Oryzias latipes: one gene and its partners. The protein of the gene in region 3 interacts with the protein of the main gene of each other region in a biochemical or structural test. Links are inferred from orthologs where the notes say so. Each region holds a gene or a part of one and is shown on either strand. Other genes may lie near its edges. The genes, in order: lig1, chromobox protein homolog 3 and ehmt2.

Region 1 (4,797 bases), on a different chromosome or scaffold from region 3:
CTACAGACGTTACTGTTGTCTTTCTTTGATTAGAATACATTTAAATCACCAGCTGACTGTGTCGTCAAGATGAATAGCAGAAGGGAGAATAGAGACCTGTTTTATGACGTTTCTATGACTTTAAATCAACTCAAAATAAACTGGACTTTTCAAGAATTTTAAAGGCTGAGCATAAACGTAGGAAATCTATCTTTGTTTTCTAATTTTTTAATCAATTATCCATTAAAACACTTCCTGTGTCAGTTGTTGCCTTAAGAATCACTTATTTTACTCTGACTGAGCTATTTTTTGATCTGCTTTGTGAAAAAAGAGATTCAACATAATTATCGTCTCTGCCTCCCCCTGACACCTCTGTGGTAGCTGGCAGCTTCTTTTAGGGGTGCAATGAACAATTGCCCTTTGAGCTATTGATTTTTTCCCCCCCATTCTGCCCTCTTACAGCTGTCCAGCCTCTGCCTCACCCCTTCTTACTCCCGTGCCCCCTTCCCAAACCGATCGCAGCTCCTCGAGCCCTCCACGGCACGTTTCCCTTCATCTCCTCGTCTGCGCGCCCAGGGGTCAGCCGGGATGAGCCACGGGAATCGAACTTTATTGCTAACTTGTGGCCTCCGAGGGGCGCTACAGGGTGGGACGTGAGCCCCCACATCCAGCAGGGCCTGTCTGGAGCAGATAAGCTGACGGAAAATCAGAGGGAAGATCAGAGAGTGGAAAAGGAGAAAGAATAAGAAGGAGTTATGGAACTGGACATCTTTCAAACTTATGTTTTTTTTTATTCTTCTTCTTCTGTGTTTGTGATTGCAAATGTACAATCTTTGTAGCTATTTATTCAGTTGAAAGATTCTCCATTTTATTCATACATGCATAGGCAGGTTGTGTATTTGTGTGCTTGTTTGGGTGTTTGGGTGGGCCAAATAAAACTGCACACTCAGCTTACACTATCCAACTATTTTGTCTGATAATTCACCGCCCTTGTTTAAATGTCGTGAACATGACAGGAGCTGCATAAATGATGCAGGAATTTCTTTTTATCGTCTCTGATCATCTCTGCCTGCTGCATGCAGTTACATCTCCGGGACACCAGAGGGCAGTAAGAATTTATATGGTAAAGTTTTTCCTTAGAGCATTTGCCGGGAAAAGCTGAACAAAAAAAGACATCTCACTCTGATTTTCTTTCTTTAAAATAAATTCTTTATACTTTAAAAATAAATGTTTGCTTCCTACAATATTATTCAGTATCCTACACCATCACATGTATTCTCTTTTTTAAAATACTTTTTTTTAGCTGCTAATATTTTATAAACTATTTTAGTGACCTTTTTGTGTCAACAATCCCGTGTCGGATAGTGTGACACGCGCACAAAGTGTATAATTTTTGTCAAATTTACGAATTTGATGTATTTAAGAATTTGTTCTGTTACAGTAATGGGAGCCTGTTTTATTGATGATTTAATGTAATTCTTTAAATTAGATCATTTACACAACGAAAAATCTGAATAATGTGTATGTGGAGGAGTAATACCTCTTCATATTTTGTTGATCTTTGATTAAAATGTGATTTTGGCGCCGAATATTCCAAGTGAGTTTTGTGATTCTGTAGCGCGGGAGTTTGTGTGTTTTTGTGTGGATTTAGGGTTTGTCCACACCTTAACTTGTAGTTTTTGTTCATCGTGAAGTTCAAGTGAAAGAATTTCTGAGAGACAACATGCAGCGAAGCATTGCGTAAGTAAACAAGCAAATGGTCTGCTTCTGTTGAACTCCGTGAACTACTTCTAGGCGTGTTTATGTTTCTGCTCTCGGCTGAGAACCAACATGTTTTAAGATAAAAATGTGCTTGAATGAAGTTTGTGAAACAGTTTGGTATTTCTTATTGAACGCGCTTCCTTATTGAGCTAGCATGCTTTACTAACTTTAAGCTAGCCCTAGCATGATTATCCTTTGCAGGAAATACTTTGAATGTGTTATTAGTTCTGCCTTTTGGCTTATAAACGAACGTTTGTCGTTATAAAAAAAACTACTATCCTGTAGCGTTTATCGTGTGTTAATCGGGACTATCTTGATTACGCCAGAGAAGCTGTACATTTTTTTTGGCTAACGTTTACATGGACGTCACACTCAGTAGCATTTGTTGCAGCTCTTAGCCGTTTCTCTGGTAAGTGACGTCATCCATTTATAACATGTTTACTATTTTCCCCTATTAGATCATTTTTCCAGCCAAAGAGCAAAGATAAGGACATTCAGAAGAAGGCGATCGACGAGCCAGTGAAAAAGTAAGTTTTCCTATGAAATAACATGATGACGTCATTTCTCTTCTGCTATGAATACATTTGAAAAATGAAAATGTTTCCATGTAGTAAAGCAAACTAAACAAAGCATGGGAAATGATTACATTGTTATCATGAGAAGAAAACAGAGCAAACTAAAATAGTGTCATTTATTTTGAAGAATAAAAGTTTTGTAAATTAATGTATTTTTATTGAGGCTACTTTAATCAAATTAGCATCTTCTGCTTTATCCTGACTCCACTTGCTGATCTTTTTAATCTAATCTAATCTAATATAATCTAATATCTATTTGTGTTTCACTTGCATGGAAATGCGCCAAAGTCATTCCATGACCAAAACTTAAATAACTATCGTCCCATTTCAGTGATCAACAATGATTCTAAAGTTTTTCAAAGAACTATTTTTACTCATTTATCCAACGTTCTTGCTTCAAATGACCTCCTTTCTCCACCAGTCAGGATTCAGAAAACACTTTAACACAACTAGTGCTCTTATGAGATTTACCAATAACGTTTATTCACACTATGGTAATAACCTGTGCACAGCCACCATCTTCTTGGACCTCTCTAAATCATTGGACTTGGTTGATCATTACCGTCTTTTGGATAAATCCGTCTTTCTTATTCATCTCTTCTTTGGTTTGAATCTCATCTTCACTGCTGCCGTCAGTGTGTGTCAATTAGTATGGAAGCATTTGTGTAGCATAACTAAAAATAAAAGTCTATACAAGAAATGCTTTTTCATTTTCAAAATGAAGCTGCATTTGTTGACTCAAAATTAAAAAGAAATCTGCCAAGCTACTTTTTCTTCTTCAACACTGCTTATTCTGTCACTTAATTAAAATGATAATAAATTTGACATTTCATTTTCAAAAAGTTCTCTGGTAAAATTCATTTAGAAATGTATAATTTGACAATTAAAATGGATTCACAGAAATGCTTTTTCATTTTACTAAATGCAGCTGCATCAAATGACTCAAAATGAAAATAAAAAATCAATCCTTCAAAATGCTTTTTCATTTCTACTTAAAAACCGCTCATTCTGTGTCATAATTAAAACTAAAATGCAAAGAGAGGATTGCATTTTCATTTTCACATCCACCCTGCAAACATTGTCATATTATTCATTTCCAGTCAGCATTTCCAGGGGGGAGGCGGGGCGATGGTGTCAGTGCTGTCTCTGTCTGTCCTCTTTCAGAGTTTGGAGTTCCTCCACGGTAATGTTTTTAGCACATATTAGCCTAATGCTAACCCGTCTTCCAGGTCCCTGCAACCAAGAAAAAAGCACTGACTGCACAGATTTAAAAATATGAGCGAGCAACAGGCCCTTAATAATAATCATAACTGTAATAAAAGCACATTTAGAAGATCGTCTCCTGCAGCTTCCCACTATTTTTGCTGTTGAATGACAGCTGCAGCCCCATGAACAGCTCTAGTAGATTTCACCAGGCTAAACTTTTGGTGTTTGCTGGTTGAACCAACACGCACTGACGTCATCGCCCCGCCTCCCCCCTGGAAATGCTAAGACAAATTGAATAATGTGACAATGTTCGCAGGGTGGATGTGAAAATGAAAATGCAATCCTCTCTTTGCATTTTAGTTTTAATTATGACACAGAATGAGCGGTTTTTAAGTAGAAATGAAAAAGCATTTTGAAGGATTGATTTTTCATTTTGAGTCAACAAATGCAGCTTTATTTTGAAAATGAAAAAGCATTTCTGGATCTGACTTTTATTCTTAGTGATGATGAAGTGAGTTCCAGGTAAAGCTGTGTGTATAACAGGTTACTTGCTTCTGCTGTTTGCAGATAGAATCTGTGCAATGAGGCGTTTTAGCCAGTGCCGTGGGGTTAAAATCCCACCTCACTGTTCACTGTCTTAACCTCCATCCAAATACAAAAAAATAAGAGGAGCATCCTTAACTTTAGGAGGAAGTTTACTTTAACCTTTAGGAGTACAATTGGCTGTTTTGGTCTATTTTTAACCTTTACATATCCACCTTGTTAGCCTTCTCTTTTGTTGGGATCATTTTCTCAGTACAACCTTACCTGTGTGACTTTTTGTTGTTGCTGTTCTATTGTAGAATTTTTTTAACCGACTTCACCTAAAATCACAGACAAAACCCGATTTATACTATGAAAGTCACAAAGGTTTATTGAATCTTCCTTTTTTCTTTACTTAAAGTGGAGAAATTTGTAGTCTAACTAAAAAAAACACATGTAGAAATGTTGCTGACATTAACGTTTAATGCAAACTTTTCCCAATCAAATGCAGTAAATGTCTCAGGTGTTTTGGTGCTGATGTTCCTCAAACGGCTTTTAAAATAAAACAAAGACATCTACCATCCAAGTTTAGTCTTCATCATTAGTCTGGAGGTAAAAGGAGTAAAACCCCATCTGGTATGCGATTGGAAGCCTCTTGTGTAAAAATCTGTTGACCTGGACGGTCACAGCGTCCTGAAATGCTCAGAAATTCCCTTTTAAAACGGATCATGTGATATAGTCACTCTGGAGTGTT
Region 2 (4,706 bases), about 5.8 Mb from region 3:
AAATTGATTTACTTTTGTAAGATAATGAGCATTGTTAGAGGTTACAATAACAAATCTTTTTTAGGTTTTTCCTATTTTCTTGCTAAATAAGTTGTTTGTGGGTATGCAAAAGTGTGCCTTTGATCTAATGACTTTTTTTTTTTTTTTTTAAGTTTGCTGAAGTTGACATTTTCGTGAAAAAATTACAATCACAAACTCTCGGTTTAAATGTTGTTGATTTGGTTTCATGTGCTTTCTGTGACATTTCTATCTGTTTCTGCCATTTCCTGTGTGAGCACATTGCTACATATCTGTTTACTTCAGGATAAAAAAAATACTCCCAAGTTTTCCACTTGATTTATTTAAACTTACATTTCAAAAACCTTTTCCATTTTTTTAAATGAAATTCTACCTCAGGTTTATTTTTTTTTCCTAATCCCTTTTTGACTAATTTGAAAGGTTTGGTGAACTTAAGTGTACTTGTATAATAAAATATTCATTATTACTGTGACCCCAAACAGATAAGCTGTCCAGTTACTTAAAAAATCTATCAGCAAGGCAAGATGTAACCCTTTAAATATTTGTCATTATGCAAAGGGATTGCTATGAAAACTATGGGTTCACAGCTTTACAAAGTCAGCCAAGTGTGTGAAATAATTGTGGAGTGCATGAAGTGACATTTTTCTTTTCCTGGTTTAGCTTAAAGTTTACTTTTCTGTCTCTAAGTTTCGCAAATGTGTGTCTTTCTTGTTTTTTGATTGTTTGCTTGTTGATTGCTGATAGTATGGTTTTTCTTGAAGAATTTAGGCGCTTTTGGGGGATTTGTTTACTCTGAATAAAAAAAGAAAGTGGCATTCTTGTTGTTTTTTCTGATAAATATAAGATTATTGTTCACATTTTATGTGTACCTTTAAGTCTAAGCATTTTTTAAAGTGGGGTGAATGTCTTTCTCCTAACTTAAGTACTTTGCTAGTGCTTTAAGTTTTTATTATTATTATTAATCCAAGTACAACTCAAATCACACCATTTGGCCAGTGCTGTAGTTATTTGGTATTGTCAAAAATGGTAAAGAAGACATTTTGACAAAATTACAATTTTTCTAGCAGAGAATTTTTTACTAACTCGGTTCACTTGGTGTAGAAGATATTGTTCACTATTGCAAATAAAAATAAAAAAATAGAAACATTTGGATTGCAAAAGTGTAGACTGAAGCACAGATCATTTTATTTCGCCTTCACACTTATAGCAAAGGTATTGCTTTAGTGTAACTAAATTTAACAGACAACCTTATATTTATCAAGTAAAGATTACTGAAAATGAATCACTTTACATTTGATAATCACATTGAGACAGTAAATAATTTTCACAGCTTTAAACACTGATACTTAATTTTTTTCACACTCAATCAATACAACTGCACTGACACAATATTGTTTTGTGTATTTGTTATTTTATTTAGGGCTTTATTATTAGGATTCTATGCACCCAAATTCTGTAGATCATTCTATAGCAGGTAAGTTGGTTTGCATAAAATAAACATTTTTTGTAGTATTCTTTAGTAACACGAGTTTATTTTAGCTCAGAAGTCATTTGTAAGCGTCAATATCAAAAAAACTCAAGACATACAGAATATTTAAAACACAAAAACAACTATAAGCTGTTCCTTTATTAGTGAAAACGATAGAAATGTGTCAATGTTTTAAACATGCTGCAAAGCTTTACTCGTGTATTCTCATTTTTCATTTAAAATGAAAAAACATATTTTAAAGATTGTGAGATAAACCGTTATATAAACTGAGAAAAAATAAATGACGTAAAAATAAACTAACAGGACACCGTAGAGTCACAAGTGCTCTAAAGCAAATTGTTTCCTTACGGGCTTCCGTAGCCTACTCGCCTTTTGCGTTTGGCGCGCACCCTCCTTTCTTCATCTGTACATAAAGACAGGCAGTGACCGCGTGGTTGAATAAGTCGTCACCGAGGTCATTTTCTAGGCTTTACAAGGTATGTAAGCTACGTTTACCGGTATTAAATGCTGCATCTCATCTCTTTGTTTTTGAACTTTTTTTCTTAAATAACTAAGACGTAAGGAGTAATTTAAGCTAACTTCTTCATCATAGAAATGAATGCAATGAACCGAACAGAATTTGTATTTGACTCTTCACAGCTCAAGCTTTTTAAGTTTATCAAGCCCGAGTGTTGTATGAATAGTATACTTTTAGTTTTAGACTGTTGATTGTCTCGTTTTGCTATTGCTATTAACTTAACACTAGCACGAACAATCTTTCGTTTTTTTGTTGGGTGTCGATATTGCTGTATTGTTGTAATTATTTGAGGCGTTAAGGTAAGATCTAAAGAAAACACGTTTTTGTAGCATGTTGATGTTCCTTTTTAGTAAAAAGATATAAACAATGGTACCATGGCCTCAAACTGTTTTGGCTACGTTAGCATGTTGGCTAACCCAAAGGACGCTAGTACCATTTACGGAAAACTTGCGGAGTGAACGTGGCCGAGTCGCGTCCGTCGTAAAAAGTTGGAAAAACTAAACACACACATGCTGTACACCTTTATATTTACGGTACAAGCCTTTCTGCTAAATGTGGGTCCTACAGGTGAAGTGGAAAAGGGCAGTTGCGTGATACATCGGCAATTGACTCTCCTTCCTCTTGGTTTTAGAGGCCAGAATGGGCAAGAAGCAGAATACAAAGAGTAAGAAGGACTCACAGGACACGCAGGAAGAGCCAGAAGAATTTGTTGTGGAAAAAGTACTCGACCAGCGTCTCGTCAATGGGAAAGTAGAGTTCTACTTGAAGTGGAAAGGATTTACAGAGTGAGTTAACTGGAGCCTCTCCAGCTAGTTCTTTAGAATGGGGAAGGGGGGTTGGCCTGTTTACTCTGTTACCACATTTTTATGTGGTTAAGGAATCAGACATTTACAATAGATTAGCATGAGCCTTAGATCCAATTTTAAAGTTTTTGTACATTTATACTATGATTCTTAATTTGACCCCTCCCCCTCCTTTAACTTGAGCTTTCATTTAGCTAAAATTAGCCAAATTTTTGGCCTCGATTTTCCTTCTGGCTTATGGGTATACAAAATGGGCTGAATACTTCAGGAAAAGAACAAGACAATTGGCTCGAATGTGGCAAGCATCTGCCCTTTTTCTTTGTTTTCCACTCACGCTGTAACTACCCATATAACGTAAACCAAAATTACAAATAGTTCATTTACATGCAAGAAGACACCAGATTATATGCTTTAGACAATTTTCTCATAACTTGACCAGTCTTGTTATTTTTTAAAGAACACCAGATTGCCCTGATCACTTGATAACCCAGATCATTTGGATCTGATTGGTTTCAGATTGTTCTGAACATGTAGTAAAGTCATTTTTGCATGAAGCTGCTAGTGTTCTCCGCATCCTGTTAGCTTTACATTTTTTTTAAAAGTCATGATTTATATGCAATTGATCACAGCCCTCTTAACTATTTAGTGCTGACAACACCTGGGAGCCGGAGGAGAACCTGGACTGTCCTGAGCTGATTTCTGCATTTTTGGAATCACAAAAGAATATTAAGGAGAAGCCTGCTGCTGTTAAAAGGAAAGCCTCCACAGATGAGCCAGAGACAGAGCCCAAGAAGAAAGACATGGTATGTCACAATGTCATTGCAGTACTTTGAGCTCAGTTCTAATTAGTCATTCTTCCATTTTAAAACTGTTTTCTGAATGTTCATGTGCTTCCACTTTAGGCTGAGAAACCACGTGGCTTTGCCAGAAACCTGGAGCCAGAGCGAATTATTGGAGCAACTGACAGTAGCGGGGAGTTAATGTTTCTGATGAAATGGTACATTTTTATAGAATGTCTCTGACTGTCTACTAGACAGAACCTTTAAAAGATGTTTATGAAATGAAAAAAATTATAAGATAAACATCCCACTTTAAAATCTGGTTCATAGGATTATCATTGTAAAACTCCTCACTACACACTTTATACACTTTTCTCAGACAAACAAACATTTTCACACTTTTCTCTCTTGTTTAAACTCTCAAATAAGACAATAAGTCCAATATTTTAGAAAGCAGACAAAAATCTGGTCACAATGGAAGATGTTTGTAATGGGCAAGCTAAACGCATTTGTACAGGAGACATGGGAGGGAGGAGATGGATGACATGGTCATCAACCAATCAGGATCCAGAGGGCAATCAAAATAAACATGCAAAGATATTTATAAAAATTTGAAGCAGCGATAGATAAACCACAGCATAGGGAGGGGTTAATGTAAAACTTGTTTTAGGTGAGCAGTACAATTTGGCCCAGAATGAAAACTTCTAGTTTGAACGTTGTTCACATTTTCTCTTAACTTCATTGGTTGGTTCACAAAAGAAACATTGTGGAAAGATGTTATTTATTGTGGAATATCATATGACTAATTTTTTTAAAGTAGTTTTATGTTGAATGTTTTTTTTTTCCATTTGTGTAACGCTGTTTAATTTTTTACAGGAAAGACTCCGACGAAGCGGATTTGGTCCCGGCCCGTGAAGCCAACACTCGCTGCCCTCAGGTAGTCATATCCTTCTATGAGGAGCGACTGACGTGGCATTCCTGTCCAGAAGATGAAGCTCAGTAACTGTTGTAGTTTGTGCTGTTCTTTGCATTACCTCTGCTCCTTTCTCAGGACGTTCTGTGCTCCTGTTTCCTGCCTTATCCTTCTAGTTACATGAATT
Region 3 (4,021 bases):
CCAACAAGCCAATAGCAAAACCAAGTCAAGTAAGCCAAGGTAGGTTTGGAACTTTGATGATTTCACTTTATAAAATTCATGTTTAAGATTTTCTGTGTGTGACTGTTCTTCTTTTATGGCTCATGCTTGTGTGCATACCAGACGATGAAGACCTCCCCACGCCTGATGATGCTGAGAAAGCGATGCCCACTGAGGCGGTGCAGTCACCGCTGTCATGCCAGCAAACACAGAGTGAGGGTGGCAGTGTTGCAGAGGATGAAGATACTCTGATCCATGCACCATCAAATAAACCTGCAGCAGGTGAGAATACGCTTCCTCCTGATTTCACCTGGTCCTTGTAAATCGGTAATTTCTTTTATCTGGAAAATAGATCTAAAGGAATTTATGTAACTTGGTCAAAAACTTGCATTTCCTGTCCAAGTGTATATGTGAATCTGAAAAACTGGTCATAGATGATGCTGAATTCTGCTTAATTACTAAAGCAAATTGTTCACTTCTAAAAGAAAATTAATGAAATGAAATTAGCTTAATCTGTATTATTTTTTCTATTCAAAATGAAAAATAATCAAAATGTCCAGAAAAAAAAGGTTGACAAAAAAATCTATAAAAGGCCCCCAAAAACCTGTAATGATAAAGTTATCAGGCTGTGAACTTGATTTTGAACCCAAATTTTATATTTTAGCCTCTTTATGGGATTAATATTCAATCATTGAATACATTGAAATAAAATTCATGTGGCTTTTTTATGTATTATCCCCTTCATGCCTGAATTTATTTCCAGCTATTAAAAAGTTTAATATTTTTTTCTGCTTTCAAGCTGATGCTAAATTAAAGAAATTTTGGAGCAGAAGTGGTTCAATGTGTTTTTGCATCAACAGGCATTTAGGAGTTATATACACTAGATGGATACTGTGACAGATACAGTAACATTTATACAAAGTGCTCTTTTGTTAGTGCATCGTTCATTACTCTAAAACAAGAATATACAATTGTTGGATTTTGTCATCGATAAAAGCTTTTCTCATTTGTCTCACAGGACACGAAGCCAAGTCTCCTACCTCTGCCTCTTCATCACTGGCGTCCTCCGCACCTTTAACGTTGTCCCCTGGCCGAGCAAAGATGAGCGTTTGTGTCCCCACCGGGAGTAAATCCTCTCCTCCACTTGCTCCATCCTCTCCTCCCTTCGCCGCCTCGACGTCTGTCTCCCCGTCTGTTTCTCCCAGCCCACCTAAGATCCACCGGGCCCGCAAGACCATGAACAGACCCCCGTTTGGGCTGGTAAAAGAAGACTGAAGAGTTGGTTTAAATAGCTGCTTTTTAGTAAACATTTTTGTGACTTTTTTTTTGTTTGTTTGTTTCATGTTTTTCTTTTTTAGAACACTGGGTCTGGTGAAGTTGCTTCAGCATCCCAGACCCCGTCAGGATCGCCCTGCCTCACCTCTGAGCCCGAAAGCTGTCAGTAACATTTAAAAGCTTTGGTTTACCTTGAGTTAAAATAAACCCACCTGTTTCATTACATTCATGTTTCTTTATGTTTATAGTGGCCTTAAAAAAGAGGAAGCTGGGTCATGTATCAGGCAGCAGCTGTGAAAACATTCCAGATTATTCTCCAACTGTAAGTTAGTGGTTTTCCCCCTTCCTTAAGTAAAAGTCTCCGTTTTTATTGGTGGGTTGACGTGTATTGTCGATTTGAAATGCAGGAGGAGACGTTGTTTCATAAAAAGGTGGAAACTGCTTTGGCGAAAAGCAAAAGCTGCGTGAGGAAGACCAGGGATGAAGGAGAACAGAGCCAGAGCTCCACTTCATCAGCACAAGATTCTGGAAACGTGTGAAGCTTTGATGCATTCTCCTAAAACCTCGTCCTTTTAATTAAACATCTGGTTTCTCTGTTTTTATAAAAATTAACTTTTGTCCTTTTCGTTTTGATCAGTTTCAAAACGGCGTCGATGCGAGTGAGCGCGCTAATGACACGGAGGATCACGTGAGTAAATTTAAACTCAAAAAATGCAAACAGTTGTGTTTTTAATGCAACATTTACAAATTGCAACAGCTGAAAGGAATAGAGCACTGAAAACAACATAAAACAATTATTCTCTCAAATTAATAATTTGTGACAACTAGTATTTTGGGTGCACCAATTTGTATTTGTGTGCACAAAATAGTACTTTGTGGCCATTAAATATTTTATTTTGTTAGCACTTTGTGTCACATTATAGTATTTTCTTTCTTACAAACTAGTATTTTGTGTTTTCAAACAAGTATTTTGTAGTCACATATGAGTATTTTGTGCTTACAAGTTAGTATTTTGTGCTCACAAATCAGTATTCAGTAGTCACATATTAGTATTTAGTGGGCAATAATTAGTATTTTGAGCTCACACATTAGTGTTTTGTTGGAACTAATTAATGTTTTGTTGGCACTAATTAATACTTAATGGTCAAAAATTTGTATTTTTTTGGGCACAACTTAGTTTTTTTTCATCACAAATGAGTATTTTGTGCTCACAAATTAGTACTACATGGTCACAACTTATCATTGTATTAACATGTGGTCACATATTAGTAGTTCGCACTCACAACATGCTAATAAAATACTCATTTGTGGCTACTAACGATTGACTTGGGGGAATAATTTATCTTTTTTTTATGTCCAAGGCTCCATAGTAAGGGGATCTAATTGATGGTTCACGGTCATCATATCTGTTTTATTTATTGTTGTTTGATGACAATGGTAAATTCAGAATCATAAACCCTAACAGTCTGCCATAAACACAAAAAAAGTGTAGAAAACGTGAAAATCCAGAAACCAGAAAGACTTCTGATGAAAAATTTCGGAGTTATTGATTGTAATTTTTTTATTTAAGTTTCAAAAAATCTTTTACATTTCAGATTTCCAGTTTGTCTTTACATCAAGATATTTGATGACTCTAGAGGAGCGTTAGGATTGGTTGAGTAGTCAAATTAGTTTTTGACCCTTTCTTAATTTTTTTCAGGTTTCCCACCAATGATGGAACAAATTTACACCATCAAATCTTTATTTTGAAAGATATTTCAGTGTCAAACTGCAAACTTTTAAACTTTAGTTCCACAACCCATTGAAGTAAAAACCAGGAGCTGTTAGACTTAGTCCAGGGGAGCAGAATGATAATGATAATGCATGCCAGTGTGCGTTTATCTACTTAAATAACTTGTGATTTTCAGCGTTTGGAGTCGGAAACACCAAAAACCGTCTTGAATGAGGGCGAAGAGTCTTCGTGGTTACTGTCAGGTCGAGACAAAAAGAGAAGCTCGGTTGACTTGGTGGAGATGGAGGACGGTGAGTGGTCTTTTCTGCGCAGCGCGGTTTCATAATCAGTCCTGTTGTTTGTGCTTATGGACCATAAAGAACGTTATTAAAGTGAAACTTAAGTTCCACCAAGGCTATAAAGTCCCACTGCAATCATCTTTTGATTAATTGTCAAAGTGTTCCCAGTGGTCTTTTAATTATAATTTGGCTGCTTTTTGGAGATAATTCATCAAAAATTTACCTCTGAGTTGTGGGCGGGACTGTCAGCACGGAGCAACGCCGCCCCCCTTCCCTTCTCCTCCCCGTTGCTGAGAGCTGGGAGCCCGCCCAGTACATTTTCTACTTCAAACTATGATCCTGATTCAAATCAGAGACTTTTTTTTCCGTCTGCTCCTGTTTCACAACGATTCAAATGAAGAAATACTTAATTTTCATTAAATGTGTCCCCATTATGAGAAAAAAATGCCACAAGAACATGTTAAAAACACTGTTTTTAAACAAATCTTAAAAAAATATCTTCAAGATGCACAACTGTTTTGCATTAAAAGGAGAGGATAAATGATTTTACTGTAGGAATTATTGTTGTGTTGATCCTCTCATATCTCCTGACTGCTCTGCTCTTCTGTTGGTCTTCAGAAGAACAAGCAGACGAATACACCGAGGTTCCTTTGGGTGACCTGGACATCGCAGCTGCCGACAGTCTAACTCTTTCCCCTCCTCCTGGTGGGTTTAGTCT

What was found.
Region 1: of the proteins of ehmt2 (region 3) and lig1, one has a biochemical effect on the other in vitro, tested with the Homo sapiens proteins (3 studies listed by BioGRID). The link is inferred for Oryzias latipes from reciprocal best matches to the Homo sapiens genes EHMT2 and LIG1.
Region 2: the proteins of ehmt2 (region 3) and chromobox protein homolog 3 are reported together in a solved structure, tested with the Homo sapiens proteins (2 studies listed by BioGRID, with this or other methods). The link is inferred for Oryzias latipes from reciprocal best matches to the Homo sapiens genes EHMT2 and CBX3.

Annotation. Positions count from the first base shown.
Region 1 is NC_019875.2:2,524,650-2,529,446, forward strand, and holds the start of lig1 (DNA ligase 1), read left to right. Parts: upstream 1-1,547; 5' UTR 1,548-1,702; coding exon 1,703-1,719; intron 1,720-2,198; coding exon 2,199-2,267; intron 2,268-4,797. Other genes in the region: ETS domain-containing transcription factor ERF-like, read left to right, coding at 442-725.
Region 2 is NC_019869.2:11,214,828-11,219,533, forward strand, and holds the start of chromobox protein homolog 3, read left to right. Parts: upstream 1-1,851; 5' UTR 1,852-1,983; intron 1,984-2,655; 5' UTR 2,656-2,663; coding exon 2,664-2,809; intron 2,810-3,473; coding exon 3,474-3,630; intron 3,631-3,729; coding exon 3,730-3,824; intron 3,825-4,482; coding exon 4,483-4,609; 3' UTR 4,610-4,706.
Region 3 is NC_019869.2:5,427,725-5,431,745, reverse strand, and holds part of ehmt2 (histone-lysine N-methyltransferase EHMT2), read left to right. Parts: coding exon 1-39; intron 40-141; coding exon 142-300; intron 301-1,036; coding exon 1,037-1,278; intron 1,279-1,376; coding exon 1,377-1,455; intron 1,456-1,541; coding exon 1,542-1,615; intron 1,616-1,700; coding exon 1,701-1,826; intron 1,827-1,930; coding exon 1,931-1,981; intron 1,982-3,200; coding exon 3,201-3,315; intron 3,316-3,921; coding exon 3,922-4,008; intron 4,009-4,021. UniProt on the Homo sapiens protein: Histone methyltransferase that specifically mono- and dimethylates 'Lys-9' of histone H3 (H3K9me1 and H3K9me2, respectively) in euchromatin.